Linked DNA regions of Coturnix japonica. The protein of the gene in region 3 interacts with the protein of the main gene of each other region in a pairwise test. Links are inferred from orthologs where the notes say so. Each region holds a gene or a part of one and is shown on either strand. Other genes may lie near its edges.

Region 1 (3,746 bases), on a different chromosome or scaffold from region 3:
GCATAGTCACCACCATTCACTATGCATTTTAGGAGCCTACAAGGCTATCTGGAAAACGGCTTGTCTTTCATGTTGCTGAAATGCACCACCCGCTGCCTCACTGTGCTCACATCCGCTGTTTGGTCTCCATGAATATTCAGCAGGTGCCACTGAGCATCAAGGGGTGCCATTTTTGCTGGGTGAAGGAATTTCATGGTACTCCTTTGTTTCACGCGTGCTTCCATGTCAGACACAGTTTTGTCAGTCTGCCCCTCTGCTGCCATCTGTTGCACAGCAACAAAATGCAGCAGAACATTGCTGGGAAAGTTCAGCCTCTACTGCCATACCACCAACATAATGGGCCAACATAATAATAGGAGGCATTATGCTTGGAGCAGATATCGTATTTCATATCAAAACTCTCAATGGGCATTTTCCAACTTTTTAAAAGAAAAAAATAAAAAAGGCAGATAATGACCAGTGCCCTTGAAAAGCAGGAAAGCATTAGAGGTATTTGCAGCCCGAGTTACAATGAACATTTTCACAAGTCTACAGTGAACAAATAAATGCATGAAATAACAAGAAATTACTTTACAGTTATAAGTTCTTCTCTTAGTGCCAGACAAAAATATTTTTTATTCTTTCCTCTTCTAACAGGGCTTACCGGAAACATTTATTTCTTGGAAATCTGGACAGGAAAGACGTGACAATACTATGAAAGACTAACAAACATCTAAACTCTTCTCTTGCTCAGACATGAGCCATGGGCAACACTTCTGTTTCACTGCTGATCCCTGCGTTTGGAGCTGGAGAGAACAGTACAAGGAAGGCACTGAGAGCACTGAAAAAAGCCATCTAATAAACAAAAAAAGGCTATCTAATAAACAACAAAAGGCCATCTAATAAACAACAAAAGGCTATCTAATAAACAACTCCTTGTTTATTCTGCAAAGCATTTTCTGCAAAACATCCCGCCATAGAAAGGGTAAATAAGGACTCTGTAGACCTCCCTTTCTTACCAGGGGAAGTTCCTGCCTTAAGCACCAATTTCATTATGTATTACTGGAAAAACAAAGTGGTCCAAGCAAAGAAAAAAAAAAAAAAAGAAAAAGAAGAACTTTCTGTTGAGCAGCCTAAGGACAATCTATGGGCCAGATCGCACAGGAACTCCTTGCTCACAGATGCTGTACAAATTCAATTACACTGAAGAGTGCTTTAGTCTAACTCCACAGTGCCTGGATGAATGAATCAGATGAATAATTACTTCCATATTCTATTATAAAAGCAGTCATATTATAATGGGCTTGAAGCTAGCATGGATTCAGGGCTTCATTATACCTACTCTCTCTAAATCTTTCTCTTAATTATCTCCGGTCCCCAGGAGAGGGTTGAGGCCTTCTTTATTTGCTCTCTCTCCCAACATAGTTGGCTTGATTCCCAAAGCGAAAGACTAAAATGGAGTACGAAGTCACCAAGAGTAAATAAGTATCCTTCTAAATGCACAGATATTTTTTGTGTTATTTTAGAAGTGATAGAAATGTCACGGCAGCAGCTGCAGCACATTCTATTGTTCACAGAAGAAACAGCAGTTGAGCAGACACCTATATACACTGTTCTAGTACACTGTGTTTGTCCTGGGCAGAACAAAAGGTAGTTTGTTTGACAAAAGCAGTCCAGTGTTCTGGTCATACCTTACACATCTGGTACGGTATTGAAGATAAGCCTGAATGATCAGAAGCTGGTAATCCTGGCATATAGACATACATCTTTCAGATAAAGAACACTGGCAACAACTCATTTTGTGTACATTAAAAAGGGCTCAACAGCCAGGTAAAAAGAACTACAACTTACAGAACTGTTGGGATGCCTCCAGGGATTATCACAATATCTCTGAGATCTTGGGAACGCTGAAATACAAAGGCACAAAGGACAGAGTGTTAGCCCTCAAATCTACATGTTACTGTCAGATAAATGAATTATACCGTTCATTGAGGTTCATTAATACCAACAGGGAAGTATCAGCTGTACAAGATAAGGGCATTCCCCCCCAGGTCATCTTCAGCCTAACTTTACATGCACAATCCCAAATTGATAGGAAAGCAGCTCTTTACTCCAGTGAGCTCAAAATTTGTTTCCCAGGCACCACCAAAACTACTGCTACCTGAGTCAGCATTGTACCACCACACTGCACTGCTAACAGGAAAACTACGTGGTACAAAGTGCAGCTAATGCAATGCAAGGAATGTGAGCTAAATACTAGTACATTCAGAAAATCAAAACATATTTATTCAACAAGTGTTCCAAACTCTTACAGATCTAATTTCTGCCCACATTACCCAAATAGATGGTGCTGACCATGTGATGCTACAGGTCTAACCTGAGCAAGCCCAGCTGTGACATGAATTACATGCAAACCTCTGGTAGATGTGACCACATTGGCCTGCTCCCTTTAGCTACAGTCATATCCCACAGTGCTCACACCATACTTTGCAATCGTTAGGAATTACACACGCTCTGCAAGCACACTTCATTTGCCTCTGGCAAAAAGAAGACATTTATATCCAGGCAGCTCCATCCAGCAAGCTGCACTGCACCGGCTTAGGGCACTGATCCCATAATAAACTGCTTTGAGTAACAACAAGGCCAGGCCCGCACCTCGGTGCTGACACGGCATCCTCGGAGCTCAGCCGCCCCACAGACACATGGAATCACTGCTAGCTCCAGCTCCAGCCTGCATTCTGATCCTTGTGGGTACAGCTGTAGGGCTCCTCACCAAACAGAGTTAGCTCACAAGCTGCGGATCTTCTGCCTTTTGTGAGGGGATGCTACACCGGGCTGCCCTGCCCTGCCCTGCCCTGCCCTGCCCTGAGGGACACGGCCTGAGGGAGCGACCTCTACACATACACTAAACTCCCTCCGTGCTCTCGCGAGAGAAGCCGTCCCGCCTCTGTGAAGATGGCCCCTCTCGCGAGAGGCTGGCGGCGCGGCTGCTCGTAGCTATAGCAGCGGGAGATGAGGGCGGCCGAGGGGAGGGAGCGCTGCGTGTTGCGGCGGACGGCGGCAGGTAGGATTCACCGCCCCGGGAGGAGGCCGGGCTCGGGGCCCGCTCCACGCCCCTCTCTCGCCTCGGCACGTCCCCGCTGTAGCTGCGCGGTTGTGGCTGTGGGACGGAGCGCTGCCCGCAGCACGTTCCCTCACAGGGAGCTGCGCGGGGGCAGGAGGCCGAGGCGGGCAGGCAGAGGGGTCGGGCAGGCAGAAGTTGTTTGCTTCTCCTGGATTTGATTCCGTTTGAAGGTCTTTGGTGAGGAGGAGGATTATGTGTGGGGATTTCGAGGATTACAGCCCTAAATATAAACCACGCAGAACTCACCTTCTGCTTTCAGAAAGTTGCAGACAATGGTTTTCTGGCAGCTGCTGCTGAGAGCTTTAGTGCCTGGTTGTGAATGTGAAAGGAATCCAAGGAGCTTCCCAGAGTTCAGAACAAATTCTCAGTGTTAAAATCATGAAAATACATGCATGAAATTTGGGAAAAGCAATCATAGAATCTCTCGTGAGGTTTGAAAGAAAGAAGTATGTGCTGCAAACAGACCTTTGTGGGTTTGTGTTATTCTTCAGGCTTGAAAACAAATCCAAGACTGAAAGTTTTATTGTACAGAATACACGGAGTTCAGTAGCAGCTTTGGAAAACTAGTGATTTAGGAAGGCACACACACATTGATGTGCAAAGGGCTGAACTGAAGCTGGAAACGGTGCTGCTGATGGCTATA
Region 2 (3,746 bases), on a different chromosome or scaffold from region 3:
CGCCTGTTTGGCCGTCTGTGCTGAGCGCGTGTCGATGATGAAGCCCCGCTCGCCCTCGTCCAGCACCGACCCCAGCAGCATCTCATCCTCCGGGCAGCGCTTGCGGTTTGGGCCGGTCAGCGGCTGCGCGCTGCGGAGCATCACCTGCGGGAAGGGGGCTGCGGGCATCGCCTGCGGGCAGCGGGGTGGGAGGAGAGGGAAGGGGGGCGGGATGTGGACTCACGGTGCCGTTCCTGGTGTGGTAGTAGCTGAGGACGGGGAAGCGCCCGCCCTGCCGGAACCGGGCCGCCCTCCGCAGGGTCTCTTCGCTCACAGCCGCCGGCACGATGACGGCCGGAGGGTACGTGGGGCAGATGGAGAAGTCCTGGTTCACGTCGCTCAGCCGCCACTGGGTGGTCTGGGGGGAGATGTGAAGGTGGGAGGGGGGAGCGGCCTCCCCCTGCACCCCAGCCAGGAGTAAAGGACCAATCCCGTCACCCCTTCCCTCTCCTTAAGGGTGGGATGTGACACCCTCCCTCCCCCCCAAGACCAACCTGCGTGGCAATCTGCTGGAAGTGCTGCTCCATGGGCAGCAGCGGCCACCCCTCCTCCAGCCGCAGGGTCTGGGGCCGGTGGAAGAAGGGGTACATCATCATCACGGAGTCCACCGAGGAGAGGGCCTGCAGCACAGCACAGCACAGCACAGCTGGGGGAAGGCCAGGAATGTCCTCCCTGCAAACCCCATCCCCGTTCCTTCTTGCAAGACTTGGCAGCGCGGGTGCCCCATGCAAACACAGCCCGAGCAGCTGAGTGTTTACCCACGTTAATGGCAGACCCAGAGCAAACACCGTGGGCAGCCACCTGAACCCTTTGCAGCCCGGCACGGCTCACCTCGATGGAGCTGGCGATGTTCAGGCACTCCTCCATGCCCGGGATCTCCAGCTGCAGCACCTTCAGGTCCTTGCAGCGCAGTGTGATGGTGCCGGAGGAGCCGGCCAGCCTGGGGAGGGCAGCGGGGTCAGGGCAGGAGGGGCTGCACGTGCAGACAGCACGGAGCTGCCCTCTGTCCGGGGGGGCTGAGAAGGGCACAGCACTGAGCGGGGCTCCCGGTGGATCTCGGTGTGCCTGAAGCTGTGACTCCCACCAGCTCCCCTCTGAGCAGCCATAGCCATCCTCGCCCCACTGAGCTGCGTGGGGCCGGGCACTGCCGGGCAAGATGGAGGAGCTGAGAGCACCTAAAGCCAAACCTGTTGTCCCGCGGGGAGCCGCTGCTGTGGGGGGGCTGATACCAGCCTACATTCTGCACTCTGGGGCACGGAGGAGAAGAGGAGGTCAATGGCCACTGCCACAGGCCATGGGGAAGAGGAGAGAGGAGGCTCTGCGGTGCCGGGAGGGCAGCCGGGAATCACCCCCATCCAGGACGGGACAAAGAGGGGACACAGGGTGGGAAAGGACCGACCTCTTCTCCACGGCGTCCACGTTGCGGATGAGCAGCCAGAGCTCCACGGCGCTGGGCTGCCCGTCGCCGCCGGGGCAGGAGGAGAGCAGCAGGTGGTGGCTGGTGATGCACAGGGTGCCCTTCACCGCCGGCTGCCCCGCACACGACAGCAGCACACTCTCCACCGTGGCCGTTTTGATCAGCTCGGAGAACTCCATGGCGGTGCTGGAGGGAGAAAGGGGAAATCCTGAGCGGCACAGCCCGGCTGGAGCCCCCCCACCCCCCCGTCCCTCCCCGCAGTGCAGCCACCCCCGTCCCGTTCGCGTCGTCACCTAAAGCCGATGCCGCTTCCTCCCTGCTGAGCTGCGCTGGTTTCCTCCCCTCCCCGGCGCTGCTGTCACCGCAGTGGGGAAACTGAGGCAGAGACCCGCGGGGCTCGGGGGGCTGTGGGTGCAGGGACGCCGCGCCCGGTGCGGGCTGGGGGGCACCTGGGGGGGAGTTGGGCCGGCTGCAGCCTCACATCGGCTCCGTTCTGTGGGGCGGGAGGAGGAGGAGGAAGAGGGGAGAAAAAGGAGGAAGAAGGGAGGAGGAGGAGGAGGGGGCGGCTCGCACAGTGCACCCCAACCCCAATACCCACCCCCGCCCATGGATCCACGGCTCCGGGGGGTGACGGGCGGGGGGCACACAGGGGGCACGCGGGGTGCGGGGCTGAGCAGGAACGGAGCCGCTGGGGGGGGGCGGGTTAAGGTGGCCCCGCCGGTGGATGCGGGGCCGGGGAGTGAGTCAGGGGACACGGGGAGGGGTCACACCGGGGGTGCACGCGCGTTTGCAGCCCCGCAACGGGAGCAAGCGGGGCCGTGTGGGGTCAGGGGACGGCAGCGGGGGGCGAGGGGCTCCGGGCCGCCGCACCCACCTTAAGGCCCCGCAGCAGCGCACAGCTGTCCCGCAGCTGCCGGGCGCCCACGGCCCCGCACTCCGCCCCGCGGGCACGTGGAGCTGCTCGTTTCCTTCGCCCTTTTTTTAGCGGCCCCGGACGGGAAGTCGGTGTGTCACGCAGCGAGTGGAGCGGGACGGCTCAGCCCGGCACCGCGTCCCGCGACCGCCCCGCGCTTCATCCGGGAGGACACGGAGCCGCCTCCCAACCGGAGACAGCGGCGCTCAAATAGGAAAGAAAAGGGACATAAAAACAACAACAAAAAGCAACTTCTTTGCACGCCTCTGGATAAGCCGAGTTCCTGCCCGTTATAATTATCCCCAACCTTTATTGTTCCGGGGGTAGATAAATAGGCGGCACTCGGCGCAGCCGTTCCTCGTCCTGCTGGGTGCGCTGGGGTTTGGGATCTGGGAGCTGGGAGCTGCAATTGGAGATTTGGGGTCGTTTGGGGTTTGGGAGCCGGGCTGCAGCCATGGCCCTGGGCCAGGTGAACTTCTCTGAGCTGGGCGCGGAGGAACCGGCTGCAGGTGAGGAGAGCCTGGCTGGGGTCAAGGCGCTCACGGCCAAACTGAAGCTGCAGACCCGCCGCCCTTCGTACCTGGAGTGGGAGGCGCGGGTGCGGGGGCAGCCCTGGGGCAGCCCGACCCCACGGGGGGCGAAGGGGACCTCGGGGCAGCCCGGGGCTGAGCGGGACGGCAGCGTCTGTGGCTTCCCTGGTATGGAGGAGGCTCTGCAGTGGCTGAGGATGGAGCTGGTGAGTAACGCTGAGGGTGAGGGGCACGGAGGGGCGGTGCCTGACCCCACCAGGGCTGCTCCCGCTGCAGCTCACAGCTCTGCTCCCGCTCCAAGCGCGGCCGCTGCTTGTGGGGTTGTGCCCGGGGCTGCAGCTCTGCCCTCCTGCCCTGCCCAGCGCTGCGGGTTGTGGCTCTGCATTTGTCAGCCCTCCCTGCTGCTTTGTGCAGGCAGCAACAGCCTCATGGCTGCAAACCTACCTGGGCAGATCCCAGTCCCTGTGCCCAGCCTGTGCTGCACACGTGGGCTCTGTGTGTATTCCTGATTCCCCGAGGCTCTGGCACCAAGCCCTGCTGTCACAGCAGCCCTGCTGGCTCTGAGCCCCTGCCGACAGCTCCGTTCCCCCCCAGCAGGAGCTGCAGGCTGCGGACCAGCGCCTGGCACAGCAGCTGATGCGCCTGCGGGCGCAGCTGAACCGGCTGAAGGTGGAGCAGGTCTGCCACCGGCACAAGGAGATGCTGGACGACGCCACCTTCGGCCTCGAGGGCTGCGAGGAGGACTCGGATCTGCTCTGCACCATCCCCCCCAAGGCCGCCTTCCTGCTCTCCATGCCGCTCAAGCACATCGGTGTCACCCGCATGAACATCAACTCCCGGCGCTTCT
Region 3 (3,746 bases):
AGGGATGGGGCACCCACCACCTCTCTGGGCAACATATTCCAGTGCCTCACCACCCTTATCGTAACAAACTTTTCACTTATATCCAGTCTAAATCTCTTTTCATTCTGCCTGAAATCATTTCCCTCTGTGCTATCACAACAGTTCCTGCTAAAGTGTCTGTCCCCTTTGTTCTTAAAGCATATGGTTAAATTCTTCTCCACAACCATTAGTTTATTTATTTGTGCATCTGCTCAGTGAAAAACACACCCCTTTTAGGCCTGTGTGTTCAGTGTCTTCTAAGAAGTGCTTTCCAGTATTAAGGTAGCACTGTTTCTATTAAATTCCTGCATTTATCTCCTAAGTACTTATTCTGCTCTGAAAACAACATGGCTCCTTAGCCTGTACCTTTGTGACTTCTGAGTTTTCTTTACCCTTTCTAAATCAAAGCTTTTTTTCCGCTTGCTGTCAGTCTCTGTGATCTCACTTTGGGGTTTGATGACAAACTGACGTTCCTTCTCACTTCTATCCTCATTTCACAGTGCAAGTGTTGCTTCCAGTCACACTTCATAGACCTCTTAACGGTATTCTGAGTTGCATGAAAGCAGTTCTGATAAAATCAATTGTGCAGGCGTAAGCGACATCATCATTTGAAGCCAGTCCATACACACAGCCTGCTCTGAGGATGGGCCACAGACGACTGTTTATTTTAACTGCAAGGACGAGCCAGAAGTGAATAGTTTGTATTTTGGAGTTATGGTTGCTTTGCAAATGACACCTTGTAGTAGCAAATGTAGACAAGTTTTCATTAAAGCGCTGAGAGGTAAACCTTAATGCCAAGAACAAGCGCATCCACGGGAGTTGCAATGCGATCTTACAGCCCTTCTTTAGAAAAGAGCCATAATAATAAACATTTTAAAAGGTTAAATCCTGGTTTATAAATAATAAGATCAAGTTTCAAACACACACTGCCAAACAGTCGCTCCATATTTTTTTATTTTCATCCCCAAAAGGTTACTGTGTTTCAGAGCAGCAAGCAGAGGCTCTCCCTGCTGCAATGCTCTGAGGTGTTACCTGGAGGCAGCTGGAGGAAAGCAGGGGGGGGTCTCATGGCCCATTCACTATGAACACAATTGGACCAGTGATTACAACTTGGAACCTGGTGCTGTGGGTTAATATCACAGTTGCAGAAGAGCACCCTTGAGACGAAATGGTCTAAATTTAGGTGTGAGGATGATAAAGGTGAAACTCTGGACCGCAGAACACTTTCAGGTGACACAGAGATGGGTGCCTCTCCCTGTGGGATTACTGCTGTATAAGGCAGGCACATCATGCAGTGCTTCCAGCCACATTGGCCAAGAGTGTTTTTGCAGTCCTGCCCCTGTAGCGCAGCTAACAAACAGCTTTGCTGGGTTGTGGGGTGATAACAAAGAGCATTGGTGGAATTTGAGAGTTGTAGGTCAGGGAATAGAAAACGGCTTCTGTGCTTAATGAGCAACGTGAATCAGCCACAGCAAAGGGCCAACGGGACAGCATTAGTGCTACGCAACCACTAGGTGATAGATGATTTCCCAGGCACAGCAGATGTAATGCTGATGCTTGGGACTGAACCCTTGCTGTTGCAGGTGATGTGTGGAAGGATCAGTGATCCCAGCATCCCACAAAACCCCTGACCACTGATAACACCCAGCTCCATGATCGTAATGATCGCTAGGCTGCAGCAGGACAGAATTCAGTGAGTTTGGCAAGTTAGTCTATGCTTACTTGTCCTCAGTGTTAGATAACTCCTGCTCCTACGTTACAGTTTAAAGGTTGCTCCTTTATCTTATGTCCCCTTAGTTGTACAGCATCTATACTTTATTTTCACTTTCAGTGTAAGTACTTGCGAGAGAAACTTAAGGATGTACCCATGACCACATGTGCAATCATTTAATAAAAAGGCAATAAGCCAGAGGTGAGCTTAAATTCAAAGGCTCTGCCAACAAGGACTCTTCTACTGAATATCTATCTAATGCTACACAGGGGTAGCTGAAAAACACCTTCCCCACAGGAGGCTGTGCACCCTGTAGATAAGCTGCTGCCTCTCGTAGATAAATCGAGGAATTGGAAGAAACTCTTCCAATGTGTCTGGGAAACCAAGCACTGTGTTAAGTGGGAGATACCTTTACCAATAGCGTGATTCACTTTGGACTTGAAAAATGCTGAAGTTCCATGCTTACATTTTTTGAAGTGAAACAAAATGTATTTCTCAACTTTGGAAAGTTTCCCCATGCATGCACACATGTACACACACACACACACACACCACACACACACTCTTTTGTATATATATATAGTATATATATTTGTATATATATATAGTATATATAATTATATATATATATAGTTAGTGTGCCCCGGTGGCGCAGTGGTTGGAATGCCGCGTTGCGACACCGGAGCCCAGGTTCGAATCCCCTGTGGCGCAAGTGGTAGAAGTGCCGCTCTGCTACACAGAGGCTCGAATCCCGGGGGTTGGACTCGATGATCTCTAAGGTCCCTTCCAACCCGCACGAGACTGTGATACTATGATACGATGATATATATACACAAAAGTTTAGGCAATATACTGATTTCAGATTAATCAGAAATTGTGATTAACAGGAGCTCAGGGGCACAGGTTTAGATTTCTCTGTCAAAAAAAAACCCCAAACATTCTGTATGTTAGGGTACACTTATTAAATGGAAGGAAAGAAGGGAAAGCAAAGGGAGAAAGTATAACAGATCTTTTTCTTCCATTCCTTTCTTCTACACCTTTCAAGCAAATCTGGACAAGAAGCAGTTGAAGACAGGTACCGCCTCTTCCTCCATCTGTAGAGCTGTTGACTCTTACCATGGCCAACTCTCTCAAGTCAGTTAGAAACCTGTGACACAGAAGTGACAAGTCAGTTCAGAGGCGACAGCTGGGAGTCGCAAGAAAGCAAAAGTGTCTGTATGACACAGTTAGTGACTCTGGAAAGATCCTCTCTTTCAGACTGGTGAACAGGAGAAAATCTAAAAATTAAAGAATTGGAAGAGCAGGGCATTAGTAATATACATTTTGAAGAGCAAGGAAATGCAAATTTGAAGCAGCTTAACAGCAAACGCTAATTCTTTTCCTTTCCTGGCAAACAATTCATGCTAGGAAAATGGCTACATGGAAAAAGAGCACTTTCTTCTGCAGCTTTCTGCAACTGTGGGTAGGCTGCTGGTTTCATGGTACTTCTTCACTCAGTGCATTAGTCAGACTTGTTAGCGAGGCTTCCACAGCAGTGTCACAGGCAGACAGGAGGTGTGTGGTATCAAAACAGTGAAGTTTCTCCTGGAAGCGTGTCAAGAGAGGCAACCCACACACTGTGCCTGGAACACATGCCACAGTCTCACAGTTTATCCTACGATCTATGACAACAAAAATAAATCACTTGCATTCATCTGAAGTGATGGAGAGAATCGCTCACCCATTTCTCCCACGAGACCCCCAAACTCACCTTCCAGCTTCTCAAAAGGGCAGCTTGATGGCAAATGCGACTGCTTGCTTCTATTAGAATCTGTCTTGTCACAGACACAGTAGCATCATCCAGTCTGTTCCTTGGTAAAATCATGAAAGGCAGAAACTTCTGCTCATTAGATTTGCTGCAAAACTGACATTTTACCAGTCATCAGTCAGGAACACAGTTACACCTTTGCAAAATCAGAATAACTACACCCAGGAAAACTGGATGTATGTAAAATCACTCCTTGCAATCCCAAGCATG

The links.
Region 1: the proteins of MOS (region 3) and SEC24C interact in binary tests that used the Homo sapiens proteins (3 or more experiments, as listed by UniProt). The two-hybrid records come from large-scale screens. The link is inferred for Coturnix japonica from reciprocal best matches to the Homo sapiens genes MOS and SEC24C.
Region 2: the proteins of MOS (region 3) and myotubularin-related protein 9-like interact in binary tests that used the Homo sapiens proteins (3 or more experiments, as listed by UniProt). The link is inferred for Coturnix japonica from reciprocal best matches to the Homo sapiens genes MOS and MTMR9.

The regions. Positions count from the first base shown.
Region 1 is NC_029521.1:13,589,164-13,592,909, forward strand, and holds the start of SEC24C (protein transport protein Sec24C), read right to left. Parts: upstream 2,772-3,746; 5' UTR 2,635-2,771; intron 1,887-2,634; 5' UTR 1,831-1,886; intron 1-1,830. UniProt on the Homo sapiens protein: Component of the coat protein complex II (COPII) which promotes the formation of transport vesicles from the endoplasmic reticulum (ER).
Region 2 is NC_029538.1:4,520,928-4,524,673, reverse strand, and holds the start of myotubularin-related protein 9-like, read right to left. Parts: upstream 2,440-3,746; 5' UTR 2,331-2,439; intron 1,950-2,330; 5' UTR 1,750-1,949; intron 1,643-1,749; 5' UTR 1,636-1,642; coding exon 1,439-1,635; intron 1,287-1,438; coding exon 1,227-1,286; intron 980-1,226; coding exon 871-979; intron 660-870; coding exon 534-659; intron 398-533; coding exon 224-397; intron 145-223; coding exon 1-144. Other genes in the region: protein FAM167B, read left to right, coding at 2,824-3,105, 3,494-3,746. UniProt on the Homo sapiens protein: Acts as an adapter for myotubularin-related phosphatases. Increases lipid phosphatase MTMR6 catalytic activity, specifically towards phosphatidylinositol 3,5-bisphosphate and MTMR6 binding affinity for phosphorylated phosphatidylinositols.
Region 3 is NC_029517.1:100,576,250-100,579,995, forward strand, and holds the start of MOS (proto-oncogene serine/threonine-protein kinase mos), read right to left. Parts: upstream 2,245-3,746; 5' UTR 1-2,244.